Linked DNA regions of Arabidopsis thaliana. The protein of the gene in region 1 interacts with the protein of each later gene in a pairwise test. Each region holds a gene or a part of one and is shown in the gene's direction. Other genes may lie near its edges.

Region 1 (4,135 bases):
ACAAAAAGCACAAAAGCTCAAAAAAGACAAAGTTGGACGGAAAAATCTATATATGATTAAAGCAACGAAAAACAAAGAAAAAATCAAACACACACATTGTGTAATTTTTTGTGTATATGGAAGAATAAAGTGAGGCGATCGGAATGAACATCATTGATCATGCTTTCTCAAATTCTTCTCTGATCCTAAAACCAATAAAATGTTGTGTTAACTTATAAATATCATCCATCAGTTTTTACATTGTAGTGTATCGTCTCTAGTAGAGTTCAGCAGTGATCATGATCATCACTAATAGTTATGGCGTTCAATTTTCGTTTTCTCTAAATGTTTTTAAGAATTATCGAAGGAAACAAATATATACATTAAATGCTTCTTTAAAATATATAAACTCTGTTTAGAATTTCAGTATTGAAATCTAAATTATAGTTTGTTTAGATTTTACTAAAGATCCTAGTACTCCAATAAATACAATCTTTGTATTTTTAAATAACACTGATATTATTGATCTTATCCCTATCATTAAATTCAACGACAAAAGTAAACTTTGTTGCAAAAGAGAAGAAGACTATAATAGAGAGACGACAGATCTCGTTCTCAAGATGGTGCACTCGCATTACACATTTGAAATCCGACAGGCCCGTTCACATTTATTCTTAATTCGTCATCCTCGTCCAGGATACTTTAAGAAGAGGTAATTTCTAGGTTTTTAATGTGTTTTTTCCACTCTGATTTAAAATCCTTTCTTCTCTCCCAAGCTTCCCTTTGCTTTCAATCCCCAGGAGCTGGAAGGATTGTAATGAGTTCGAGCAAGAAATCTCAAAAATCGAATCATTTCCGGAAATAATATCCAGAATTGATGAATATGTTGCACAACTTAAGGAGGAGGTGGCCTATCTAAAGATAGGTATTTATTCAGAGTATCTATTTGATCATTCTTTCTATTTTATTCTCCTTTTTTATCTTTATGTGTTTCATATTCGTGTAGCCAAGGCGATTGTCGAAGAGAGGGCTAGGATTCGCTCCATAAAAAGAGCGGAGGCGCGTAAGGTTTTAGAAAAGTAAGTTTAACAATTGACGACTTTTTAGAGAAATTTTTAATGATATTGACGACTTAGATGATTAATTATGATCATTATCAACCGTTTAATGATTACTTTTACTTTAATAGTTTAAGGCAAACTCTACTCGGGGAGATGAGGAAGAGGAAGGCTGACGAGGATCTATGAGAACTGATGATCACATAAACTTCATGCTACATGCAATAAACGCGGTTAATTGGGTTTTGTTTTTTCTTCAACATCAACCCGACCTAGCTAGGGTATTATCTATATATATGGGACATCTTATCATCTGATCTGCATGTACCTATTTTTATTATTATAAATGCTTCATATATTAAGAAGAAAAGTTGTAGGCTTGTAGCAACCGATTCATAGTGGAAAATCCTTTTTTTTTTTTTTATGAAAATCAGATCGGCCGCAAAAACAACTTTCACCATGCACGAAGCTAGAAACTGCATTGATGTACCGTGTACGCTGTTTTTAATATAAAATAATTGCAGTTTTATTAGTTAGGCTACAAATATGAAATCAGGAGAAATATACCAATTAATGTACGTCCTAATTGCTTGGTATGTTACATAACCTTAAGTTGTATAATATTTATTAATTTATTTTATACTGGAGTTGATAGCTTTAAAAGTTGAGAGCAAAGTAACTTGAGACCATTTTAGAGTTAGCAAAGTAATGGAGAAAATAAGAAAAATCACACGCATGCAGCATGATGTATAATTATTGGAAACATGTATTTCCAAGAAAGTAATCAGTTCTCTGTACGCCTGAATTCGATTTTCATAAAGCTCACTTCCTTGGATTGCTAGAGCAAACATTTATATTGATATCTGCGTTAACATCATAACATGTGGGTTTTTAGTAATTCTCAACAGTATGGGTATTTTTGCTCTCTCTAGAGAGGGTAAATTTGTGATTCCATCTGCAAATTATTCCTCCTATATATATATAGAACGTGATGAATCAAATTTCTTAAGTTGCAAGCCATGACTAATCTTGATGAGTTTCTTGAAGAGCTAAGTTCTATTGAATCACATTCTCAGAAAATCGTGAAGATAGATGAGCATTTAAAAAAGTTGGATGAAGAGACGAAAGAAGATGAAGATGAAGATGCGGCGAAGATAATTCAAGATCGGAGTACCGCGAGAGAAGCAGGTTAATTTCTTCTCCTTCACCTTGTAATTTAAAGTTGTTCCTCTCTCATTCTCAAATCTTGTTGGGTCTTGGAAACGCAGAAATTGCTCTACTTATGGATCTCCGTCAGAACTTTCTTCCACCACCATCGATGTCATCCTCCTCTCTTCAACCACCGTCATCGTCAACTCTCGCACCATCGTCATCATCCTCTCTTCAACCACCCGCACCGTTGATAGACTTCTTTCGGTCATCAGTGTCATACTCTCATCAACCACCGTCATCTTCAACTCTCGCAACATCATCGTCACCGTCTCTTCAACCACCGTCGATGTCATCCTCCTCTCTTCAACCACCCGCATCTTTGAGGGAATTCTTTACGTCGTCAGTGTCATACTCTCATCAGCCATCTTCATCTTCAACTCTCGCAACATCTTCGTTCTTTCCGTCGTCAATGCCATACTCTGTTCGACCTCCCGATTCGTCTGATCGACCATCTTTGAGGGAATTCTTTCCGTCGTCACCATCATCCTCTATTCAGCCACCCGAATCATCATCATCTAAGCGAGCACGGCTTAGTAACATCTTTCCGTCACCTTTATCCTCCTCTCCGTCACCGTTTGTTAACCCGTTTCTCCGTCCGCAGGCCCAAGAACCAACAATACCAAATTTCATAAACCCAATACCACAGATCTCTCCAGGCCTACCTGCTCTATTCCCAAACCCTAACCCTAATCCTAACCCTAACCCAATCCCAAACCCAATCCGAAACCCAGACTTGGTGTGGACAAATAGGCTTCAACTAGTGTTTGATGACGCAGTTGTCAGACTTGGGGGATTATTCAGTATGCAACTTTATAATTTTTTTATTTATTTTGTTTATTCTTTCAACTCCTAACTATTTTCCTAATTTTTTTTTTTTTTTTCAGGTGCAACACCCAAAGCCATAAACGAACTAATTTCTGAAGAGGGTCTCACTGGTGACCAGATCCGTAGCCACTTACAAGTCTTGCGGGATCGTCAAAAGGCTATTGCAGACAAATTAGCCTTGGAGTGAAGAAAATATTGAAGATGAGAGATAGGATTAAATAGAAAGAGTGATAGTATAGAACGTTTCTTTTTCTTTTGTTGTTAATCTTGCATATTACAAACAATTACTATATCATAATAGAATTTATGTTAATGTTGGAGTTATTAAAAAAAAAAAAGTTAACCATAATAACATTCTTACTGTACGCATGAGTGATCATTTATCACAATCTATTAGAGCAACCCCAATGGGTGGGATGATGACAGTCCCTAAAAAACCAAAAAATAATAATATTTTAATTTTTTAACATAGTTTGACAACTAAAAAACCTACACATGTACATTTAATCTTCAGGTCCCTTATATAAGGGTTTTTGGAGCCCTTCTCTCCTGTGTCCCTTCCATTTTAATTATTTTTTTTTTTTTTATATTGTAAGGGACCTTAAGAGAGACCACCATTGCTGGTGCAGGCTGTAGAAAAATTTGTTTAGCTTCTCCTTCTTTTCTTAATTTTGACAGATAAGTCTCAGCCTCTCTCCCCCCATAAGGGTATGTCTTGACATTTAGATTCGTTGAATCAAAAGTTTTTCATGTTTGTTCATATTGTGGTCTAATCTTCTTAGGCAGATATGACCTCAGGGAAGAAAGATTATTATGAGTTGCTCAAAACTACAATCTTTAAATAAATATTTGGGTGATGAAACTTCTAGTTCTTTTTTTTTTTTGGTCTAAAATGAAACTATTACTTCTAGAAGAGAAATATCCAACTCTTTTTTTTATTCCAAGCAAATGATAACCAAAAATGCAATAAAGGTGTTAATTTTTATCATAAATATATTCTAACTATGGTCGTAACTTGTAATGGAACACCTAGGCATTTTTTATTTTTTTGGTGCACACCT
Region 2 (3,801 bases), 3.7 Mb from region 1:
TGTTCTCATAGCATTAAACCTTTCGAATAAGCATCTTCTCAATACTATTTAGCCTCACGAGGGTTATAAATTCTCACATTTCCCTACTGACTTCTCACCAAACAAAAAAAACTAGAAGAAGAACGATACATAAACTATGCTCACGCAAGAACTTGCGCGCATTATGGGGGGTGACGATGATGAGTATTGGTGAGGACCGGGTAATCTGCATCCTGAGGTTTAAAGCTTAATTTACGCAGGAAATTTGTATACGCATATACGTATGTGTATTAGTATACCTTTTAGTCCTCGGGATGCGGATTACCTCGTTCTTACTTACAATACACGTACTCGGAGACACGATTACTCATCATCTAGAGGTTGGTTTTGATCCTCCATTTCTTCTAAGTTTAAACATCATTAATAAGATATTTAAGACTGAATATCACCACACATATATAGAGTCAGTCTCATAGATGATGAATTGGTAATATTATATGACACTACTGACTTAAAATTATTATCATATAATATTACTAATTATATTAAAGTTTTTTTTCGTCAACATACACACTAGTTAAAAATTTGAATTTAGAAAAGTTCAATTGATGACTCATTTCAGGAATGCTCGAAACAATGGCAACGACGCTTGTGTATGTTTGAATTAGTGATATATCCGTTTTATTCATACTTAATTAAACTGGTAACTCTAACTAATACGCTGTATATTTACCTTTTTGTCTAGTGAATAAAAAAAAATCACGACGACCTAGTTTTATGTCTTTTATCTATTGCTCAAAGGTCGCTCATTGCCTTTGACTAATATGTTTAGACTTGTGATTTCTGCTATTCAATTAAATTAATTAACTGCGTTTATTAAATTTCAGTTAGGTGACTCATAAAAAGAAAACATAGATTAATTAAGTTATATATATAGTATAATGATGTACATACAAATTCAAAAGTACTATGGATCTTGCTTTGAAAACGAGTCAGTCAATTGATTTTGTAGATTTATTCAGTTTTCATAGATGTCCAACACTGGAATAATTGTTGATAATTTCAGGAAAAGCATATGTTAAAATAATGCTAATAACAAAAACAAAGCTAGTGATGTGTATCAAACTACCAATTGTGCAGAGACAAAAACAAAACGCCAAAATGCTGTGTTGTACCCTTTTTTGTCAACTGCGTATCTGTTTTTTTTTCAGTATAAAAAACTTAAGAAATCTCTAAACCTAATTATTGAGAGTAAAAAAAAAAACAAATAAATAATCAAATTTTACTGAAATAAATTGTAATGATCAAATATATTTAAGCATTGAATTTTTTTTGTGTAGTCCTAAAGTTGAATCTTGAAAGGCTGCTGATCTTAATTTGTCTTTTTTTTTTTGTTCGTGCAAAGCTGCTGATCTTTGTTATTGTCTCATATGTAAGTGGTTAGCATAAAATAATATTAATTTCTTGAATATGCGTTGTATATTTTGGTGACCATATACAACTACTTACATCGATCTTGTAAGAATTGCACATAGTAAAGTAAATATATCACAAATCATATGTCCGATAACTTCATCTATTTATATATTTAATGATGAAAATTGTAGTTTGATAAAAAAAATAAAAAAAATAATGATGAAAATTGTAGAAACGAAAGTATTTTAATCGTAAAATGGAAAAAATTGTTAGATTTTTATTGATCATTTTTTGGTAGTTGCTATACTGTTTATAGGTTTTATATTTAGTTGTGGAAATAATTTATAACTATAACAGAATAGATTATTCATGTAATGACATAGAAACAGTTGTTTTCACTTTTCTTGTTTTGTCTTGGTGCCGTGGTAGATTTTGATAATAAAATTAGAGTGTTGATTAATTTATATTTGCCAAAACAAAATAAACAAATAAATAATTTCAAGTTGACCAATTCATATTTCTTGATGGAAAACACTGATCTCTTCTCTTCTATTCTTTCTTTCTCTTATGAGGAATTTTCACAATCTTTGATCATCTTCTCCTTTATTCTACGGAAGAAATCTATATATTCTATATATGGAAAACATCAAAAACCCTAAAAACGCAGATGATTGTTCCGATAGCATATCAAAAAACAGTCATCAAGGCGTTGATGATTCCCTGAACCAGTCAAGATCTTACGTATGCAGTTTCTGCATAAGGGGCTTCTCGAATGCTCAAGCACTAGGAGGGCATATGAACATCCACAGAAGAGACAGGGCTAAACTCAGACAAAAGCTTATGGAAGATAATAAGGATGATGTCGTCGCCGAGAGTGATGCATCCGAAGTTGTGTCTCTAGACCTTAATGAACAACAACAACAACAAGGAGAAGCTTTGACATGTGATGATCACGATCAATATGTTGATAACGATATAAGTCCTAAACAGAAATTAGAGTTTTGGGTTCAAGAAAGCAAGCTTGATACTAATGATCATGGAAAGGTCACGGAGGCTAGCATAGATGGTTCGAGTTCGAGTCATCATCGTGATATTGAAGTATTGGATCTCGAGCTTCGGTTAGGCCAAAGCGTCGTAAAGAAGAAGACAACATAGTCTCTGAACGATGAATCATATATTGATTGCATTGTATCAATGGGAAAATCCCTATGAAACACCAAACTCTCTAATCCGTCTATTACAAATGGATTCGTGGCTCAAATTGTATTGTAAGGTATGCATTTGTATCTTATTGCTACCATTATCGTTGTTGTACCTTGTATTGATATTTGTTTCCTTGCTTGGGTTAATTTCACCAACAACTTTTGTAAATGACATACACGTCCAAACAAACAAACATATATATAGAAATTATATATATTTGGTGTTTGCTTTATAGTTGTTTAGGGAAAATGAATAACTAATAAGCTTAACTTAGCTCAACATTATTGATCTGGTCATGGTAGAGACTATTCAAACTTGTTCACTGAGAAATATTGTTACAGTTGAGTTATATATTGGTAGTCGTCCTCAGATTTTCGAGTAAGCATTTGCCAATTATGACTCTTATATTCGAGATTAGCACTCAACATTTAATTATATGTTAGCAAATAGTATAACATTAGCTAGCAAACTTATAAACGATAAATTTGACCAAAACAACATAAACCAAGGTCACTTTATCTACTTTTTGTTCTCTGAATTCTGAAAACGAATTTGAATATCGTATTCTAACAGTGAATATTGCATTTATACTAAAATTTACGATCATAGCCATAAATAAGTAGTTATGTATAGTCAAACTATATGTAGTTATACAGTACTTTAAGACGTTTGAACCGCTAAGATTCCCATAATCTGCATGATAATATAATGTATGTAAACTGATACATGCACAATTGCACATGATAAATATAACTAAATTGATACATGCCGATTTGCGCATGATAATTATAATTATATGCTCTATAACATGTTAGGATTTAAAATGAAAAGAGCAAATGGTTCAAGGCTGCAACTTGGTGACGCCACCAATGATGACCTTTTACGTCTTAACCACGTTCCGGTTTGGTTCGAGAACTTGTTTGAGATCCGCTTTGGATCTAAATTCAGATTGGTTTTATTTGAGATGCCGTGGAAAATTGGATAATTTCCACCAGAGATATATGATTTAATTAATTGGATTTTGGATTCGATTATAGTAAACCGATAATAGTGAGGCAGTAACGAACAAAACAACTTCAACCGGATCATTGGGTTGGTTTAGTTTACTAATTGAACCGGTTTGATAATGTTTAAAAAATAAACAAGTGACAACGAAGACCAGCAGGTCCAGCACACGATCCTAAATCCTGTGAGCATCGTCTC
Region 3 (5,844 bases), on another chromosome or scaffold:
CCATAACTGATAGTAGGTTGGTTATCTTTATCAAAACAAATAAAGTTAATAGGCAGAAAAATAATTGTCTATAGAATCAATTATGAAAATGCCATTTTTTGGGATGGCATTTGTGGATTTTGCCCTTTTTTTAATAGTTTGTGAATTTTGCCATTTTTCAGGTTACGTGAATGAATATACGTTTTATTCATTATGTTTGGGTTTACTCGGTTGTGGTTGTTCTTAGGGTTTAGTATTTTGTGTAAACTACGTATTTTTACCAAAAAAAGTCCGAAATCCATATATTTTTAAATCTTAGAAAATGGCTTATCCGTAAGATTTTAGTAAAAATGGCAATTTCAAAAGATCTCTATAAAAAATGGCAAAATCAACAATAATCCCTTGTCTATATGGTGGTATTTCTGCTAAAAGTGACTTATGGGTAGATTTTTTAGCTTCATAGATTCTTTGTCGAAAAAAAATTACTTTGTACATTTTAGTGGAGTTATTTAAATTTCCCAATTGAACAAAACCATATATTGATGAAATTCGCAAATGCAATCCAAAAATAAATATGTTCCACTCTTTTGGTTAGCTTTTAACTAAAGATGCGTTTTACTTTATGTAAGTGGTTGATCTTTTGGCAATGGGGGACAATGACTATACAATCTAAGAGATCATTTTAACGAATATCATTCATATTTCATCCTCTTCTTCAAATTTCAGTTTCACTAATTAACCACGTTTCAATTGTAGTGTATCGCGAGCTGTAAATATTATCTAATTTATGTTACATAATCATAACTGTAATCTTTATTAGACAAAAACATATATACCTCACTGCAAACACCTTCAAACATGGATAACTTGATTTAGGCATACAAATATTATTTCTCATTTATTTGATATGACCTATATTATGTGGCTATTTTATCAGTTTTAGTGTTTTTTATGATAATTGAACCACTTAAATGTTTATCTCATTTTTCAATTTATTTTAAACTGAATTAAAAAGTAAGAAAGTATGATCCAATAAGGCATCGACACATGGAAACCCATTTTAAGGTAGAAGATGCTTTTCTGCGGCTTCTGAAAACAACTAGAAAATGATATGATACGTTGCTTTCATTTATTGTAAGTATTATTTAGTTTTAATTCACGCGCTTCATATCCAGCTGCAAGACTACTACAACTTGCAATTATGAGACTCTCGTTAGAAAATTACCAGGTATAATTTAAAAACAAAAAGAACTAGAATATATTGGCAATTATTTGAAGTAAGAAAATATGAGATTCTTGACCGAGTTGTTAAACTATCAAACCCAAAAGTTTTGGTTAAAAAATAAGCTAGTACTATGTACATATGTTTTATGTTGAAAATATATTAAACTGTATGTAAGAGGGAGTGTACTTTCATTTTAGATATACATTTCCAGCTAGTACGAGGTCTCTATATATAAACTTTCTTAATATCGCTAAACAAATTTTACTTTCAAGTTTGTAATGTGATAAGTGAAAGACCGTATATACATACACATGTTAATCAACTGATAACCTTTGTGCCTCGTGTGTCTAGTTACTAGTCAACCATCAAACGTGCATGATGCTGTTTTTCTTAGAGTACTATTGTTGTGTTATATATAACTAAACATAAACAATTTGCTATTATGATATAAACATAGAATTTTCAAGCAATGATATGTTTAGATGTTTTGTATAAATATTCCATAAATAGTAGACACCCATATATACACAAACATGAATTCTACCTGAGGAGAAACACATAGATGTTCAAATTAAATAATAACCCTATAATGAAAACTCTAAAGTAAGTAATACGAAATAAAAATTTATCCTTTAAATAACATATAAACATATATATACAAGTTTAATTGGTAATTGTATCACAAGAGCCAATTATTTGGTGACTGTATCACACGTGCTTAAAGAGAGCGTGGGAATGAAAGTAAAGAAGAATAAAGAAGCAGAGAGATGGGCTAGAAATGAGAAAACACACCAAACCCTAACCTCACCCTCACACATTTCTTATCTTTTGCTCTCAATAGATTCCATTGATTCAAAACAAAATTTTCATTAAGATTTCACAACCTCCACACACTTCCAAACACAATTAAAGAGAGGAAAAAGAATCAATAACCCTATAAATAAAAAATCAGACAAACAGAAGTTTCCTCTTCTTCTTCCTTAAGCTAGTACCTTTTGTTCTTGAAATTAGGGTTAATTTCTTTTTTCCAAATACCATCAATTCTCCAGACCATAAAAACTCAAAAAGATCAGATCTTTCCTCTGAAAAAGAGATACCCAACTTATGTTTTTGTGTGTCTGTATATAGATAAACATTACATACCCATATTTGTGTATAGACATAAAAAGTGGAAATTAAGGTAACAAAAAGAAATGGGAAGAGGAAGAGTAGAGCTGAAGAGGATAGAGAACAAAATCAACAGACAAGTAACGTTTGCAAAGCGTAGGAACGGTTTGTTGAAGAAAGCTTATGAATTGTCTGTTCTCTGTGATGCTGAAGTTGCTCTCATCATCTTCTCCAACCGTGGAAAGCTCTATGAGTTTTGCAGCTCCTCAAAGTAAACAACTCTCTCACTCTTTATCAGTTTCTTGATTGAGTTTTTGCTAGATCTGAGCTTAGATCTTTGTCTCAAGGACTTGTTATATATAGATCACACGATCTTGATTTCTACGAAGTTGAGTTAATTAGATTTCTTGATTTCATTTTCTAGGGTTTTTTTCCAATTCTTGAAATTTAAGATCTGGTTTTTTTGTTGTCAATGATTTAGAACTGTGAATTTTGTAATCGAATAGATTCCAAATCCTGATATGCAATCTGAAAAGTTTTATATAATTAATATATGTCTGTGTGATTGGAAACTTAAAAGTTGTTCACAGATTTCTATGAAAATTACAAGTATCCAACGTAGAATGATAATATATGGTTACATGCATTAACCATTTGTTAGTTCATCATACTTTATGGTGGTTAAAACTTCAAACGCGTGTATATCTGTGAAGGCTTTGATTGTTTGTTTTTTCTTAAAAACAATGTTTAATAGATTTTTAATTATATGTTAAAATAGTTTTGCTTACATGCATTCAAGAAAATATAGCGATTAATTCCTTTTTTCAAATCACAATTTGTGAATCAAACGAAAACGTAAGATATTGCTTGCAAATGATAGGATTGAACTATTGATATTTGTAAATATAAATACGAAACTTTACGTTTGAAAGTTGAAACAATCAAATCCAAATCAACTCGTATATAATCAGATAAATAATGGAAACAATCTTCAATTTTGATGGAAGAATACTTTAAAACTTGAAGAGCTTTTTTTTTATGGTGATTTATAGGTTTAGATCTCCAAAGTCAAGTATGATCTTTTTAATAAACTCTTATTCTCTCTTTTTGAGTTATTTTCAGCATGCTCAAGACACTTGATCGGTACCAGAAATGCAGCTATGGATCCATTGAAGTCAACAACAAACCTGCCAAAGAACTTGAGGTGTTCTTAATTCAAATACTATTTTAGATTCCTATCATATCATTTCAAGAAAGATCTTTTTTAAAAGTTTGTTTTCGTGAAATATTTCAGAACAGCTACAGAGAATATCTGAAGCTTAAGGGTAGATATGAGAACCTTCAACGTCAACAGAGGTACATATCTGTCTACCTCCGTATATTTACTCAATTCTGTATCCATGTAGATTCATATTTGTAGGTGTGTGTGGCTTTTGTTGGTGCAGAAATCTTCTTGGGGAGGATTTAGGACCTTTGAATTCAAAGGAGTTAGAGCAGCTTGAGCGTCAACTGGACGGCTCTCTCAAGCAAGTTCGGTCCATCAAGGTATCTTTATACATGGAATCAATGATTCAAATGAGATTAATTTGTGTTGTTTAATTATAACTACTATGGTGGTATGATGATTGTTTGCAGACACAGTACATGCTTGACCAGCTCTCGGATCTTCAAAATAAAGAGCAAATGTTGCTTGAAACCAATAGAGCTTTGGCAATGAAGGTATAATTACAGAATAAATGCATTTGGTGCCTTGCGATCAATCTCTTTCACAGAGTTTAAGTTTCTAAACATTTTTGGAAACATCTCTAGTTTTCTTGTTTCTGATTATAGTCTTTTGGTGAAATGTAAATGTTTAGCTGGATGATATGATTGGTGTGAGAAGTCATCATATGGGAGGAGGAGGAGGATGGGAAGGTGGTGAACAGAATGTTACCTACGCGCATCATCAAGCTCAGTCTCAGGGACTATACCAGCCTCTTGAATGCAATCCAACTCTGCAAATGGGGTAAATCCTTTGCCTTAAACAATCATCTGCAAATCAGCTTGTGTACTTCACTACTAAGATTGTACTTATATAAGGTTCTTTAGTTACTTGGTGTAAAGAGGATCATCAATGTGTGTGAACCTTTTAAGTTGCTGTTTTGGTGATGATGATGATGATGACAGGTATGATAATCCGGTATGCTCAGAGCAAATAACTGCGACAACCCAAGCTCAGGCGCAGCAGGGAAACGGTTACATCCCGGGGTGGATGCTCTGAGAGTCATGTGCTGTGTTAAAGCTCACCAACAAAAGATCTTTTATATATATAAAAGTATAGACACAAGACTTTGGATTTGTAGACATAAGTGGCTATATATAATGGTCCTGAGGATCTTCAAGACATTTGTATCTTTTGGGAATCCTTGCTTATATTAAGAATTCAAATGTGTGGAACTTGTTTTAACACTGAACCATGACACTGGTTTATTATCATGTAATGAGAAACATTTGGGTTACAATGTGATCTCTCCTTGACCCAAATACCCAATGTAAACTATATGCCAAAATACAAGCATCACATATATATTCATAAATTCATAAAAGGTTAAAAGTAATCATACAAAATGATGTAAAAAGTTTCATGCCTTGAACAAAACACTGCGCCAAAGGCAAATCCTAAGAAACATGTCAGATTCCTGTGTGCATCTGTTCTGCTGCTGCTGTTGTTTTCTCTCAAGAGGGTTTCCTCAGAACTCCATAAGCCAAACGTGCAGAGAGACGTTTCCTCATTTCCCCATCATATACAATATCATATATTGTTAAAAAATATATTCACATCTCTCTGCTGCCTTGTCAATCTCCCCAGGTCCGGTCTAGGCAGTACAAGACAGGATCAATGGCAACAAGTTACGGTGTTTCGTGGAACTCCATCACCTGCAAATGAGACGAATTCACAGCAGAGAAAAAAATATTCTTTAGTCAACATGAATGAGAAATAATTCAAATGTTCTGAGTTTCAGGAAGAATGATTAGCCATATTTGTCATAGACAAGACAAGTAAAGATTTTACGCATGTGCTTCTAGGGTTGTTGTACATCTTTCATTCTATTGATCTCTGGATCACTCGTCTATTTACGCGTGATGGTGTCTGAGTCTGACTCTGAAACACTAGTAAATGAGAAGCCGAAAACTGGCTTGGAAGAACATGAAAAGTGTTTACCTTTCCACAAACAGGGCAGTTTTCACTTCTCTCCATCCATTCATAAATGCAACTGAGGTGGAAATGGTGAGAACACTTTGTAACAATCTTCGGGTTCTCTGATATGTATTCTACAAAACACACGAAATAATCTGATACTAAGCTTCTTTGAAATGCATTGATCCAAGAAAAAGAAAAAAAAAGATGAAAATGAATACCTTCAAGACACGTTGGACAGACATCTTCATCATCAGATGTTATATACAGGCCTTCGTTACTAGTAGACATTGTCCTTGACTGAAGAATCCTCCGAGAGGATCTAGAGAACTCTTCTTTGGAATCTTCACCAGAG

The links. The genes of interacting proteins can lie anywhere in the genome.
Region 2: the proteins of AT3G19070 (region 1) and TAC1 interact in a two-hybrid assay, tested with the Arabidopsis thaliana proteins (one large-scale study listed by BioGRID).
Region 3: the proteins of AT3G19070 (region 1) and SEP1 interact in a two-hybrid assay, tested with the Arabidopsis thaliana proteins (one large-scale study listed by BioGRID).

Annotation. Positions count from the first base shown.
Region 1 is NC_003074.8:6,591,717-6,595,851, forward strand, and holds AT3G19070 (Homeodomain-like superfamily protein), read left to right. Parts: upstream 1-2,056; coding exon 2,057-2,225; intron 2,226-2,305; coding exon 2,306-3,049; intron 3,050-3,133; coding exon 3,134-3,261; downstream 3,262-4,135. Other genes in the region: AT3G19055 (uncharacterized protein), read left to right, coding at 600-691, 780-904, 986-1,058, 1,175-1,226.
Region 2 is NC_003074.8:2,854,110-2,857,910, forward strand, and holds TAC1 (telomerase activator1), read left to right. Parts: upstream 1-1,927; 5' UTR 1,928-2,031; coding exon 2,032-2,550; 3' UTR 2,551-2,788; downstream 2,789-3,801. UniProt on the Arabidopsis thaliana protein: Activation factor which mediates telomerase activity and potentiates responses to auxin through the regulation of BT2. Binds in vitro to the DNA sequence 5'-GACAGTGTTAC-3' of the BT2 promoter.
Region 3 is NC_003076.8:5,150,321-5,156,164, reverse strand, and holds SEP1 (K-box region and MADS-box transcription factor family protein), read left to right. Parts: upstream 1-1,911; 5' UTR 1,912-2,397; coding exon 2,398-2,582; intron 2,583-3,433; coding exon 3,434-3,515; intron 3,516-3,605; coding exon 3,606-3,667; intron 3,668-3,756; coding exon 3,757-3,856; intron 3,857-3,946; coding exon 3,947-4,030; intron 4,031-4,167; coding exon 4,168-4,316; intron 4,317-4,444; coding exon 4,445-4,571; 3' UTR 4,572-4,831; downstream 4,832-5,844. Other genes in the region: AT5G15790 (RING/U-box superfamily protein), read right to left, coding at 5,394-5,623, 5,711-5,844. UniProt on the Arabidopsis thaliana protein: Probable transcription factor. Functions with SEPALLATA2/AGL4 and SEPALLATA3/AGL9 to ensure proper development of petals, stamens and carpels, and to prevent the indeterminate growth of the flower meristem.